Callithrix jacchus: one gene and its partners. The protein of the gene in region 1 interacts with the protein of each later gene in a biochemical or structural test. Links are inferred from orthologs where the notes say so. Each region holds a gene or a part of one and is shown on either strand. Other genes may lie near its edges.

Region 1 (3,643 bases):
AGCCACCCTCTAACCCTCTCCTTGGCCACCTTGCCCAAGTGCCAGGCCTGCAGACTCTTATCAGCATCCCTGGGTGTCCCTGTTGAATGTCTGAATAACGTCACTGCTGGGGGATCAGGGAGGGGGAAGGAGGGAGACGGGCCACAGAATGCACTTTGGGGCTCTGAGGCTGGGCTGCGCCCCGCCATGCTGGCCGCCCAAGCAGTCAACACTGGTGCTACTGCACTACCAGCCAGCCCCACCCGCTCATGCACCTCCCCCAGCCCGGGACACAGAGGCCCCTGGAAGGTGGGGATGGGAGTCTGTGGATCTGGCCAGGGCTGGGGCTCCCATTGTGTTGGGGAGACCCCTTGTTCCCTCAGCCCACGCAGGAGCCCTTGTGTTTCCCTGGGTGCCAAGATCCCGAGACCCCAAAGTCCCCAGTGGGGTGCCTCTCAGGATGCACCTCACCCCAAAGCTCTCAGCTGCAACCCGAGTTCTCAGATGGGGAAATAGAGGCCCAGAGAGGGGAGGGCTGGAGCGATCATGCTCAGCTCCGGAAGCCTCCCTGGGCCCTCGCCCTCCCGCCCATGGCCTCATCTTCTGTGCCCCCCACCCCCACTCTATCCCTGCCTAGAGCTGCAGCTGGAACTGTCCTGGGAATTGGCCCCAAGAGGAAAGGAAGCTGCCCCTCTGGACAGGAGGGGCATTGGGAGTGGCCCCAGCAAGCAGCTTACCTAGCCCGTGACCTCCGATTGACACTGAGGTGAGAGGGCAGAGAGCAAGGAGAAAGGTCAGGTGAGTCACTCAAGGGGGCGGCCCCCACTCCCACACGCCGCCCCAAGCAGCGAGCCCTTGCACACAGGCACAACCCAAGCCCCGTGCCGAGCACAGCGGCGGCCAACGGCAGGCTGGCTCACCTGTGACTGTGCACTTGCTGGCGTCCCCGGTGGGCACGGCGCGAACGCGGTATGGGGAGAAGGGGATCTCATCACCACCGTACTTGATGAGGATGGTGTAGCGACCCGTCATGTCTGGCACATAGGCCACTGTGTAGGTGCCGTCATGGTTGTCTTGAATGTGTGTCTTCTTTGGCTTGCCCTCGGGGTCCTGTGTGGCAGAGGCAGGGGAGACAGTTGGCCTCCCGGAGTGGCCAGCGCCGCTGCTACAGGGATAGCCTCTGGGCCCCAGGCCTCTCAACTGCCCTTTATTTCCCTACAGGCAGAGTCCACAAGGGAGACTAAAACATCCAACACCCCCCACTGACAACAGGCACGGCCAGGGAGCCTGGCACCCATCCTCAGCCCCAGGTCCTGTCCAGCACACCCAGGTGATCTCAGGCTTCTCCCTGCCCCATGAGAATGTTACAGGTAGGGACACTGAGGCACAAAAGGCTTTGGTAATGTGCTCAAAGTCAGCAGTGAGCAAGTGCATGTCTGGGGGAGCCCAGGCCTATCGCCACCATCCTAAGTTGGTTACAACCTTAGCAAGCCAAAGGCTGTGGCCCTGTCCTTCCCTGCCCTCCTTGGTGCAGTGCCCCAGGGAGACCAGACGCCAGCCTGCGCCACCGGCAGCCCACACTCCAGCCACCCAGGCCCAGACCCCTTGCCTCCCCTGCCTGTGCCTGGAGCTCACCGTGATCTGGACAGCCAGCAGGCCCTCCCCGGCATCCTTTGCATCGATGGTGAACTCCACGGGCAGGCTGGCGGGCACGCCAGTAGTGTTGAGCCCAGGGCCACTGGCCTTCACCTTGCTGGCATCATGAGTAGGCAGCACCTTGACCTTGAAGGGGCTGTGGGCAAGGGTGTCGTGAGCAGTTAGATAGGCTCTAGGCATCCAGCCTGGACCTCCCCTCAGGCAGCGGGCCCTGCCTCTTACCTCCGGGGTACCTCTTCATCTCCATACAGTACTGAGATGCTGTAGGGCCCTTCTCGGCTGGGCACGTAATTGACGGTCTGGGTGCCATCAGCATTGTCCACCACATCCACTGGCTCCACCAGGCCTAGCCCCAGGCCCAGGGACACAGCCTCAGCTCATATCCTGGGCCTCCACTCCTACCCCGCCTCTCAATGGCCAAGACTCAGCCCCAGGCCTAGACCTTGCTTCATCCCCATCAGCCCGACCCTGGGAATGGCCCTGACCCTCTCTGGCACAAAAGACGCCCATCTGGGTGCCAGCTGGGACCCTTGCCTGCGTGCCGTCCTGCCACATCTGCTAAGTGACAAAGTCCTATCTGTTCTACCTCCTCCCAGTCCCCCTCCTGGCTGCACTGTCATGTGAGGCTCTTCCAAGAACACCTGCACACTAGCAGTCTCCTTCCCGACTCCCAGCTCCAGGCATGCAAACACTCACCTTTGGGCCCTTGCACTTTGACCTGCAGTGGGGCCACACCAGCCTTGCTTGTGTCCACCTGGAAGGACTGAGGAAGGTTGGCACGAACCATGCCAGGACTCAGGCCCGGTCCAGAGCACTTGACCTTGGATGCATCTGTCACATCATGCACAGGTACCTTGAAAGGACTGCCTGAGGGGTGGGGCAAAGGCATGGTGGCTATATGAGACAGGGTGGGGACAAGCAGATAGTCCCAGCCCTGCGCTGGCCGCCACCTCCTCACCTGGCACTTGATGGCCACCATAGGTGACGTTGAGGCTGTAAGTGCCAGGCTCATAGGGGATGTACTCGACTGAGCAGCTGCCGTCCTTGTTGTCCATACAGGACATCTTGGCCTCGGAGGGGCCCTCTACAGCCAGGCCCAGGCCTCCTGTGCCAGCTCCCCTGGTCCAAAGAGACAGCTGCTCATTCTCGGGGTTCCCAGGTCCAGCGGCCACACGGGCACCCGGGGCCCCCTCACCTGGTCTCCACAGTGAACTTGTTGGGCTTGTTGGTGGTGCCGCTTTGGATGCCCGGCCCATGGACACGCACCCGGGAGGGGTCACAGCCCTCGGTCACAGGCACCTGGAAGGGGCTGCTGGGCACAGGGCTGCCATCGTAGGTCACGTCCACAGAGTGCAGTCCTAAAGGAGTGCAGGCCAGGTCAGGAGGAGTCCGGGCTGCGATACCCACCCCGCCCACCGGCCTGCAGGAGCCCCGGCACGGACCCTCCTCATAAGGGGTGTACTCCACTTTGTAGGTGCCGTCGCCGCGGTCCTGCACATAGGTCTCTGTCAGGTTGCCTGACGGGTTGGCCACACGGGCCTTGACGTGTGGCCCTCCAGTCTGTGTGAGGGCCCGGGCGTCCACACTGAACTCAGTGGTGGCCTCTCGGAAGACGCCTGCAAAGGGACACAGGGAGGAGACTTGGGGCTCTGGTCCCTATATCCCCACTGCCACATACCGCACAGCAGGGCCACTCACCCTGGCCCTCAATCCCAGGCCCGTAGCACTGGACGCCGGAAGTGTCCACTGCAGGCTCCACCTGCAGCTTGCTGGGGAAGTTGGGCACAGGCTGGCCTCCATACTTGATGGTGACAGTGTAGGCCCCAGGGCAGAGGGGAATGTATGTGATGGTGTGCGTGCCATCGCCATGGTCCTGGATGTACACCTCGGCTGGTAGCCCTGCCTCTGAGCAGATCTCGATGGTCAGCTCTGCACTGCCCGCGCTGGAGCAGTCCACTTGGAATTGGCCCATCTCCCCAGCGGTGGCCCGCTCCAGCCCAGGGCCTGA
Region 2 (4,289 bases), on another chromosome or scaffold:
TGCTGAGACTGGGCCAATTCTGATGAATTCCAAACAATGGTAAAACCGATACCTTTAAAATTCAAGAATGTTGAGTTCTAATGGCAGTTTGATCATTGATATATTATAGGAACATCATTTAGTCTCTTAAGCTTGAACATCCATTAAGTGGGAAAAATAGTGATTATTTTCTAGAGGTCTTCAGAGATTGGCTAACCAATAGATTTTGCTGGTAAGTAATGTGCAAATTTTCTAGAAAGATGTTATTGCTTCATTTTCTCTTATATTTTGGATTGGCAGCAGCCAAATGGGTGTCCCAGCCCCTAATCTCCTACAAGAGAAACACTACTTCTCAGTTTAATAAATCTGATAAATTTTGAGCTCTTTTTCTAACAGGGTGCAGCAGCTTACTAAGTAAAGCCCACAACATTTTCTGCTACCAGGATAGCAGCTTGCCAGCAGCACATACTGAATTACGGGGTTTCAGTATGATGTTGGCTGGTAGGAACTTCAATCATCCAATCGATATGTGCCCAGCCATTCTCATTATGAATGTTTCCTTCTCTTTCAAACGTTGTTTCCAGCCCCCATCTCCAAGTGTTTAAAAAAAAAAAAAGTGAGGAGAAACAGAAACTATACACCTCAGGATGAAACTTTTCTTTCTCATCCCTGTTCCCCAATAAATGGACTTTCAGATAAACCTATCAAAAGCAGCCCACAACTCACCATTTTCTAAAACGTTCCCCATCCCCACCCTTCGTGGCACCCATGGGCTTCCCCAAGTCTTCACCTTTTTCTTAGACACACGCAAGCACATTCTCACCCCAGGAAAGCAGTCCTGGCTTAGCCAGTTCCCTTCCAGAAGGACCACGTTGTTTTTGCCCCCATGGAGCCCTGCAGGGTCCGGGGCTCAGGTGCCGATTTGCCTTGGGACGGAAGGGGGGGCTTCCTGGGTGCAGGATCTCACAGGCTCAAAACGAGACATCAGTGGACAAACGGGAAGGGAGGTCGGACGCGCGGCTCCCAGGAAGCGGAACCAAAAAACACTGGCTCAGGAGGCGACGCCAGGAACGCGCGGGGCTCTAGGGCGCACCCGACCCCTCACGCCCTTCACAGAGGAGGAAACTGAGGCGCGGGACGGCCTCTGCGGCGTCTCTGCCCCGCCCTCCACAGTCTCCCCCAAGGCGCGCTCCCGTGCGGGCCGGTTCCTTTGTCCCGGCAGCGCTTCCTGCCTCCTCCTCGCCCCGGGCCCGGCTGACGCGGCGGGAGAGGAATGCGTTTCCGGAGGGAGCGGGCGGCGGCTGCGGCCTCGGGAGCGGGATCGGACGCGCAGAGAAGGCGGGGCCGCGGCTAGTTTCCTGCCGGGGGGCGGCTCAGGGCCGCCGAGTCCCCTCCTCCCGCCCCTGAGGGGGAGGAGCCGCCGCCGCCCGCCGCGCCCGAGACCTGGGAGGCCCCGCCAGCCCGCGAGAGAGGCCGAGCGGGAGCCGCGGAGCAGCAGGCCCGAACCCACCGCGCCCGGGCTCGGACGCCGCGCGGGGAAGGTAGGGGCCGGGGCCCTCGGGCGTGGGGTCGTGGGCCGCGGCCTCAGGGATCTGGTGCGCCGCCGCATTTTGGGCCGCCTGCTGGGCCGCGCCGGGACCTTTGTGCCGGGCGTGGGGGCGGGGGCGGCCGCCGGCGGGTGGGGGCTGGGGTGGGATTCCAGGCTCGCCGGGGAGGAAGTCCGCGCTCTGCCACCCGCCTGGCTCTTCCACCCGCCTCGAGTCGCGGGCGCTGGTAGTCCCCGGGCGCGGAGCCTACCCGGCCGCGTTCCGAGCGCGGGGGTAGATGGCTTGGGCGCTGTCACGTCGGGGCTGCGGGAGCTGCGGGGCAGTGGGCTCGAGCGGCCCCTGACACCTGCAGTCTCCCACCCGGCTGGGCGAGCGCAGGTGGAGCCAGCGAGGTCTCCTGGGGCTCGGCGTTTGGGACTCGGCGCGTCCCTGGACGGGTCCTGTGCCTTTGTCTCCCGCTCCCTCGCTGGCTGCCGTCCTTGGAGCAGCGTCGAGTCGGTTGTCCGCGCCCGCGGCGGGGACTGGTCTGGTGTCCTCCCGCTGCCGGGAGGCAGCCTTGAGGCCAGCGCCGCGGGCGGGGGAGGTGGGAGCCGGGTCAGAAAGTGGCCTCGCGTAGCCGCTGGGGACCAGAGGCGTGGTGGCGGCAGTGCCGTCCACCTCCCCGTGTTTATAAACGCGAGTGCCCGGCAGTCAGAGACGCCAGCCTCTGCCGGGCACCCCGGGACCAGGACGCAGGACCACGGTCACCCGCGCTCAGACCCCGTCCGCGAGCCTGAAAGCCGGCCTGTGTCTAGTATCATTTTACCTCACGTCATTTCTTAGGCTTCATAAATTGAATTTATGAGACTCCTACTCTAAGCAACTTTTATTTCGTGAAATTCGTTGTTTTGAGTCAAAAACTTTGCACTCATTTGTATGATTAGTAAGTTGCACTCAGCTTCCGTTTCCTTGTCTGTGAAATAGGAACAATAATATCTACACTAAATTATTCATTTTTATAATAATGACAATGAGGGCCAAGTTTAGGTCTAGGAATTTTACATGTATTATTTAATTCTGGAACCACTCTAATGAGGTCGGTACTGTTTTTATTCTCATTTTCTGAGTGAGAAACTGAAGCACAGGGAGCAAAAGTAAGTTGCCTGTGGTCATCAGGAGCTCCTGGAGAAGGCATGGGGTCTAGCTCCAGAGTCCACGTTTAAACCACAAGTAACTTTCCTAACTATAGTCTAGTTGTGAAAATCAAATGCAAAATGCGAGACACTTAGAGTAGATGCTTAATGAATACTGACTCCTTTTCAGCCCTTTCTTTATAATAAAAAGATGTTAAAAAATATCTCAGAAGGTAATTGGTAACATCATTAGTAATTTCTCTGGACCAACATGCCACATGGATAACAGGTGGGGAGAATTACTAGGTTATTTTGTTTTGTTTTGAGACCGGGTCTCTGTCGCCCAGGCTGGAGTGCAGAGGTGCATCACAGCTCACCGCAGCCTCAACCTCCCAGGCTTAAGTTACTCTCCCACCTCAGCCTCCTTAGTAGCTGGGATTACAGGCGCCTGCACCCTTTTAAAATTTTTTGTAGAGACAGGATCTTACTATGCTGCCCAGGCTGGCCCCAAACTCAAGCAGTCCTCTCTCCTTGAGCTCCCAAAGTGCTGGGATTACAGGTGTGAGTTCCTAAGCCTGGCTCTTAGGTTCTTATTTTTTTAATTGTATTTTTGATGGTACAAAAATAACATGCTAGAGGAATTTAGGTTAGACATCTTTCTTAAACCACGTATGCCCTTAAAAATACGCTATGTAATAGACCACTTTCAGAAATGATTAAGAACTTTAGTTGGCAGTTAACTGTTCATTTGTGGACACCAAGGCCCAGAGGGGTCAGGACTTAGAGTCTCACTGTAATTCTTATATTTTTAAATAATGTTGTCTCATTGATTAATATTACACACGTGGTTGAAAATGGTGAAGTGTTAAATAAAAAAGTTTGGTGTTTTCCTACAGGCATTTGGGGAGAAAGCCATTTTACTTATCCAAAGATTGAGTATGAAGGTGGAAGATGTTATTAGAATGCTGGTTAAAAGGACAAAGAATGTGGATAATACTTTAGTTCTGTAAACAGAAAGCAAATAGACTGTTTAATGCGTCTATGTTGACTTCAGACCTAGACCTACAATGATTGTGACTTCTTTTTTAACCATGTGAAGGTCTATATTGAAATTATTTTTTGTTACCCTCACTCAACATTCTCTACATGAAAAGTATGGAATCAACAATTCTGAAAGCCACTAGATTTAGTAATTAGACAGCTTTCTTCTTAGCTTTGGTCAGTATCATTTAAATCAGCCCCAAATTACCATTACAAATGAAAATGTAATTCTACATTGGTGTTCACTTCCTAACTTTGGGAGTGACAGTGGGGACATCTGGTCACATTTTGCAGTCAAACAACATGGTGCCAGTTTTCCTAAGAGTGCTTGCCACTGATTGTAATGTCTTTGTTGTTTGGCTTCTTCCTAAGTAAGTTGTGGCTTATAGCGGAGACTAGTATAATGTTCTATCTGGAAAAAATATTAATATTCTGTAGGTGCTCTGGTTTGCTCTTAACTATATTGCTAGTGTGATAAGCTGAAACGTCTTGTAACTGGTAAAAGTTTCAGAGAACTTTTGAGGTCCAAGGATGTAACTTTCTGAATATGAACAAGCTGCATATATCTGAAAGGATTCATTTGGACTTCTGTTAGTTAGATTTTAGCAGA
Region 3 (3,643 bases), on another chromosome or scaffold:
CATAGTGCCCTCTGCCCTCCTGGATGGGGGCTGTGGACCTGCTTCCCACCCTCCCTGCCACCTCAATTAGGGGAGTGAACTTGGATGGCCCTGGGGCCAGACAGGAGTCACTTACGCCAGCTGGGAGGCCTTGAACAAGCTGCTGCTGTATTTCTGCATGACCCCTTGGAACAAGCCCATGGGGGCGCGGGCTGGCGAGCTCTCGGGAGGCGCAGCGGACCTGGAAGGCGCAGAGCAGGAGTGAAAGAGGGAAAAGTACTCTGCATAGGAGAAGCGGGTCATGGCTTCAGGCAGACGCGAGGATGGAGGGAGAGCTGGCGAGAGACTGACTGACGGACAGACACAGCGCTCTGAACCAAAGCAGATGGCTGGGTCCTCTCCGTGTGCTGGACACAGCTGCTGTGTCTCTGGATTATTTTTGGCCCTTGGAGGAAGCCCTGGGAGATTTAAATGACCATATAAGACAACAATGAGGTTAACCTCACCCCACCCCCAGGATCCCCTCCCCAGCCAGCCACAAGGGAGGCAAATACAAAGCAAGGTGACATTCTTCACCCTGGAGGATGTGAGCCAGGGTCAGCAGGTCAGCAGGTCTCAAGATGAAAAGGGCTCAGCCTCACCACTGGCCAGGCAGGTCCCTACAGGGTGGGACGAGAAATGCATGGGGAAGCAGAGGACAGGGGAGCAAAGCTGAGAAACCAAGCTGTGCCTGTGACCCCCCATGCCCACCTGCTGGCTCCTCATTAGGGGATCTTGTCCCAGGGGTGCGAGCAGACACTACAGCAAACTCTATAATGTCACTATAGGATGCACAAGGAAGGTCATCGCAACCAGACACAGGTTCGTGTCCAGGTTCTGGTGCTCCTTGGCCATGTGATGTGGGACAGGTTGACCATCTCTGTGCCTTAGTCCCCCCACCTGCAAGGTGGCATGAAAACAGCCTGTGCTTGAGGGCCAGTGAGGCCTGCGTAAGCGGCTGATGTGAGGAGCTTGGTGGAGTGAGCGCAGAGGGGGTTGCACACGTGCTCGCTGTTACTTTTCTCGTCATTTTCCTCTCTAAGCCTCAGTTTCCCACCCTGCCAGGCTCTTGAGAGGGTGGAAGGGCTGGAAGAAGGAGGATGGCCGCTCCACACATCTGAGTCGGCCTGGGGTCCTCGTGAGAACAGGGTATGTGGTCCCTGCTGACCCCACCCCCAGGAGGTCAGGCCTGGCGCTCTCACACCCCAGTGGGCCTGGCCTTTCCCCACACTTTTCTTGGGGGATTGGGGAGGATTCTGCTACCAGTGACTCACACCCTGTGGAGCATGAGGTAATTGTGACCCTGAGAAACACTCGCACTCTTTCAGGCCAGGCCAGTGCCTAAAGATTCTGTGAGTACCCCCGGCAAGGCCAGGGCCTGGTGGAGAGGAGCAGGGCCGGTGAGAGGAGGGAGACATGCTCACCCCTCTGCTTCACCCTCTCAGGGTTGGCTGTAGGCCTGGCCGCCTTCCTCACCCTCACTGCAGTCACTCCTTCCCACCTTCCTTCTCCCGCCCCCTGCTCCCGGCCTTCTACTGACCCGCACCGGGGTGGAGGGGACACCTCCTGCAGGTGTCCTCATTCATCCTCATCCATCGACTGTAGATGGGGGTGCCTTTTACAGATAAGGACACGGAGGCTGTGAGCGCAGGGTCACCTGCAGCGGGGCAGCGAGTGAGCAGAGGTTCAGTCCGCTGCTGTCTGCCCAGCTCTGATGCCACCCTGTCCTCTGAAGGCCTGGCCTCTTTCTGCCTTCTCATTCTCTCTCCAGCTCTCCGACCTCCACACTGACCAGCCCTGCAGCTTTGAACAAGCCCCGTCCCCTCTCTGTGCCTCAGTTTTCTCATTTGCAAAATGGAGAAGTGAAACTGGGACCAGACTGGGAACGTCTTCACTGCTTCTGCAGCTGTGGAGAAAGTCCATGTCCAGCAGATCTCAGAGCCAGGGCCCCTCGTCAGCCCTACTAGTTGCTGGACTTAGTGTCCTCTGCGTTAGCACCTGGTCCTGAGAAGGAGTGAGAGCCAGGCAGGTGGAGGCAGCCTGGGGCCAGGCTCACCTCGGCCGTCTCCAGCCGCGTCGTCTTGATGAGGCCCTGAGCTTCCACCTCCCAGGATCCTTGGGTCATGGCTGCCCTCATGCTTAGTCCACGTGTGGCCTCCAATCACCCGCCATCATTAGAATGTTTTTAGCAGGATAATAAAGCATTGGTAAAAAGCCCACTGCACCGTTCTAAACTAGAACCCATTGCTGCATACTAACAGCAGCCATGGTGGCCGGGAGGTTGAGGCTGCTGGAGGTGGAGGGAGATGGTGATGATGACAGCTTCTGACAACTGTGCAGAGCAGACACGTTCGCGAAGGCATGACTCTCCTCTCCTCATTTCCATCCTCCTGCCGTCATTGATGAGGCAGCAGCTATGCTGTTCCAATTTGCAGATGAGGAAACAGACAGACTGAGTTCCGTTCAACAAGGATTTCCCAGCTCTGGCTGGCCATGCAGCTCATTAAGACATACCTTTCTGTGGATCCTGAGGATGTTGGGAAGCCATCAGGGAGGGAAACGAGGTCACACACAGACACAGAGTCACAGAGGATGCACTGAGGTCGAGGCAGGAGGGCTCGTTCTGGGAGCACTGAGATCGGGGTGCTTTGGGGGCTATGCAAGGCAACTGCTCAGAGTTACTGAGCCCTGAGTCTCAGGGCTGGCTGGGGAGCCAGGGCCCCTGACTGGGTTTTGTGCTCTTGCTGATCGAGGCTAGAGGCCCTGATTCCCCTCTGGCCCCAAGCAGGGGAATTCCAAGCAGAGCAGACCTCCTGGGCTGAGTCATGGGAGGTGCGAGGAGCCTGGCCTCTGCAGGATGTGGTGCAGGTCATGGCCTGGAGGAGCCCAGGTAGGGCCTCTGTCCTTTGTGTGTCACTGGGCAGGCTCTGGGGTGAAGAGATGTCACCATCACCTGACCCTGGAGTCCAACTTGTCGTGGATTCAGACCTATCAGGCTCCGTGAGAGCAGAGAATGGGCTGGGGGGACAGTGTATCTTGTCACTTGGTGGGTCAACGCATGGCTGCCCTGTCTGAGTCAGCAAGAAGCCAGGACAGCCCCAGGGAGGCAGTGACTGGGCTGGGCCTGGCTGAAGGCAGGAGGCAAGTAGGCATCTTAACAGAGGAGAGAGCTAACAAACCCAAGATTCCACCTCACACCCACCACCGTGCCATGAGTCCACCCCACACCCCCCACAGTGCCATGAGAGTCCACCCCATGCCTGCCACTGTGCCAGGCCCTCTGTTCTCACCCTAGAGCCTCATGGCGACCTATGTCAAGCCCAAATATCAAGAGTATGATGCGTAGCACACAGTAGGCGCTTGATAAATTTAAGTAAATAAAACAAACCATCAAACAAAAGTCACTGAAGGATGAAAACCACACATGGCAATCTTGGTACTGTATGTTTGTGGACCAAGGTCTCATACTGCTGGAGAGCCGTCCCCTGCCCTCTCGGGTAGAGAGAAGAGCTCACAGCATGTAACTAACTCCCACCCTGGTTCCTGCACGGTCTCTGGAATCGGCCTCCTACCCACGAGGTTTCTGTTTTTCCCTCATTCACCAGCGGGTCCGTCCTCTCTGGGC

What was found.
Region 2: the proteins of FLNA (region 1) and ITGB1 form a complex in vitro, tested with the Homo sapiens proteins (3 studies listed by BioGRID and IntAct). The link is inferred for Callithrix jacchus from reciprocal best matches to the Homo sapiens genes FLNA and ITGB1.
Region 3: the proteins of FLNA (region 1) and ASB2 form a complex in vitro, tested with the Homo sapiens proteins (3 studies listed by BioGRID, with this or other methods). The link is inferred for Callithrix jacchus from reciprocal best matches to the Homo sapiens genes FLNA and ASB2.

The regions. Positions count from the first base shown.
Region 1 is NC_133524.1:150,150,672-150,154,314, forward strand, and holds part of FLNA (filamin-A), read right to left. Parts: coding exon 3,334-3,643; intron 3,252-3,333; coding exon 3,078-3,251; intron 2,994-3,077; coding exon 2,831-2,993; intron 2,755-2,830; coding exon 2,594-2,754; intron 2,503-2,593; coding exon 2,332-2,502; intron 1,982-2,331; coding exon 1,858-1,981; intron 1,772-1,857; coding exon 1,615-1,771; intron 1,090-1,614; coding exon 900-1,089; intron 741-899; coding exon 717-740; intron 1-716. UniProt on the Homo sapiens protein: Promotes orthogonal branching of actin filaments and links actin filaments to membrane glycoproteins. Anchors various transmembrane proteins to the actin cytoskeleton and serves as a scaffold for a wide range of cytoplasmic signaling proteins.
Region 2 is NC_133508.1:32,641,292-32,645,580, reverse strand, and holds the start of ITGB1 (integrin beta-1), read left to right. Parts: upstream 1-1,444; 5' UTR 1,445-1,520; intron 1,521-4,289.
Region 3 is NC_133509.1:128,773,618-128,777,260, forward strand, and holds part of ASB2 (ankyrin repeat and SOCS box protein 2), read right to left. Parts: intron 221-3,643; coding exon 116-220; intron 1-115. UniProt on the Homo sapiens protein: Substrate-recognition component of a SCF-like ECS (Elongin-Cullin-SOCS-box protein) E3 ubiquitin-protein ligase complex which mediates the ubiquitination and subsequent proteasomal degradation of target proteins.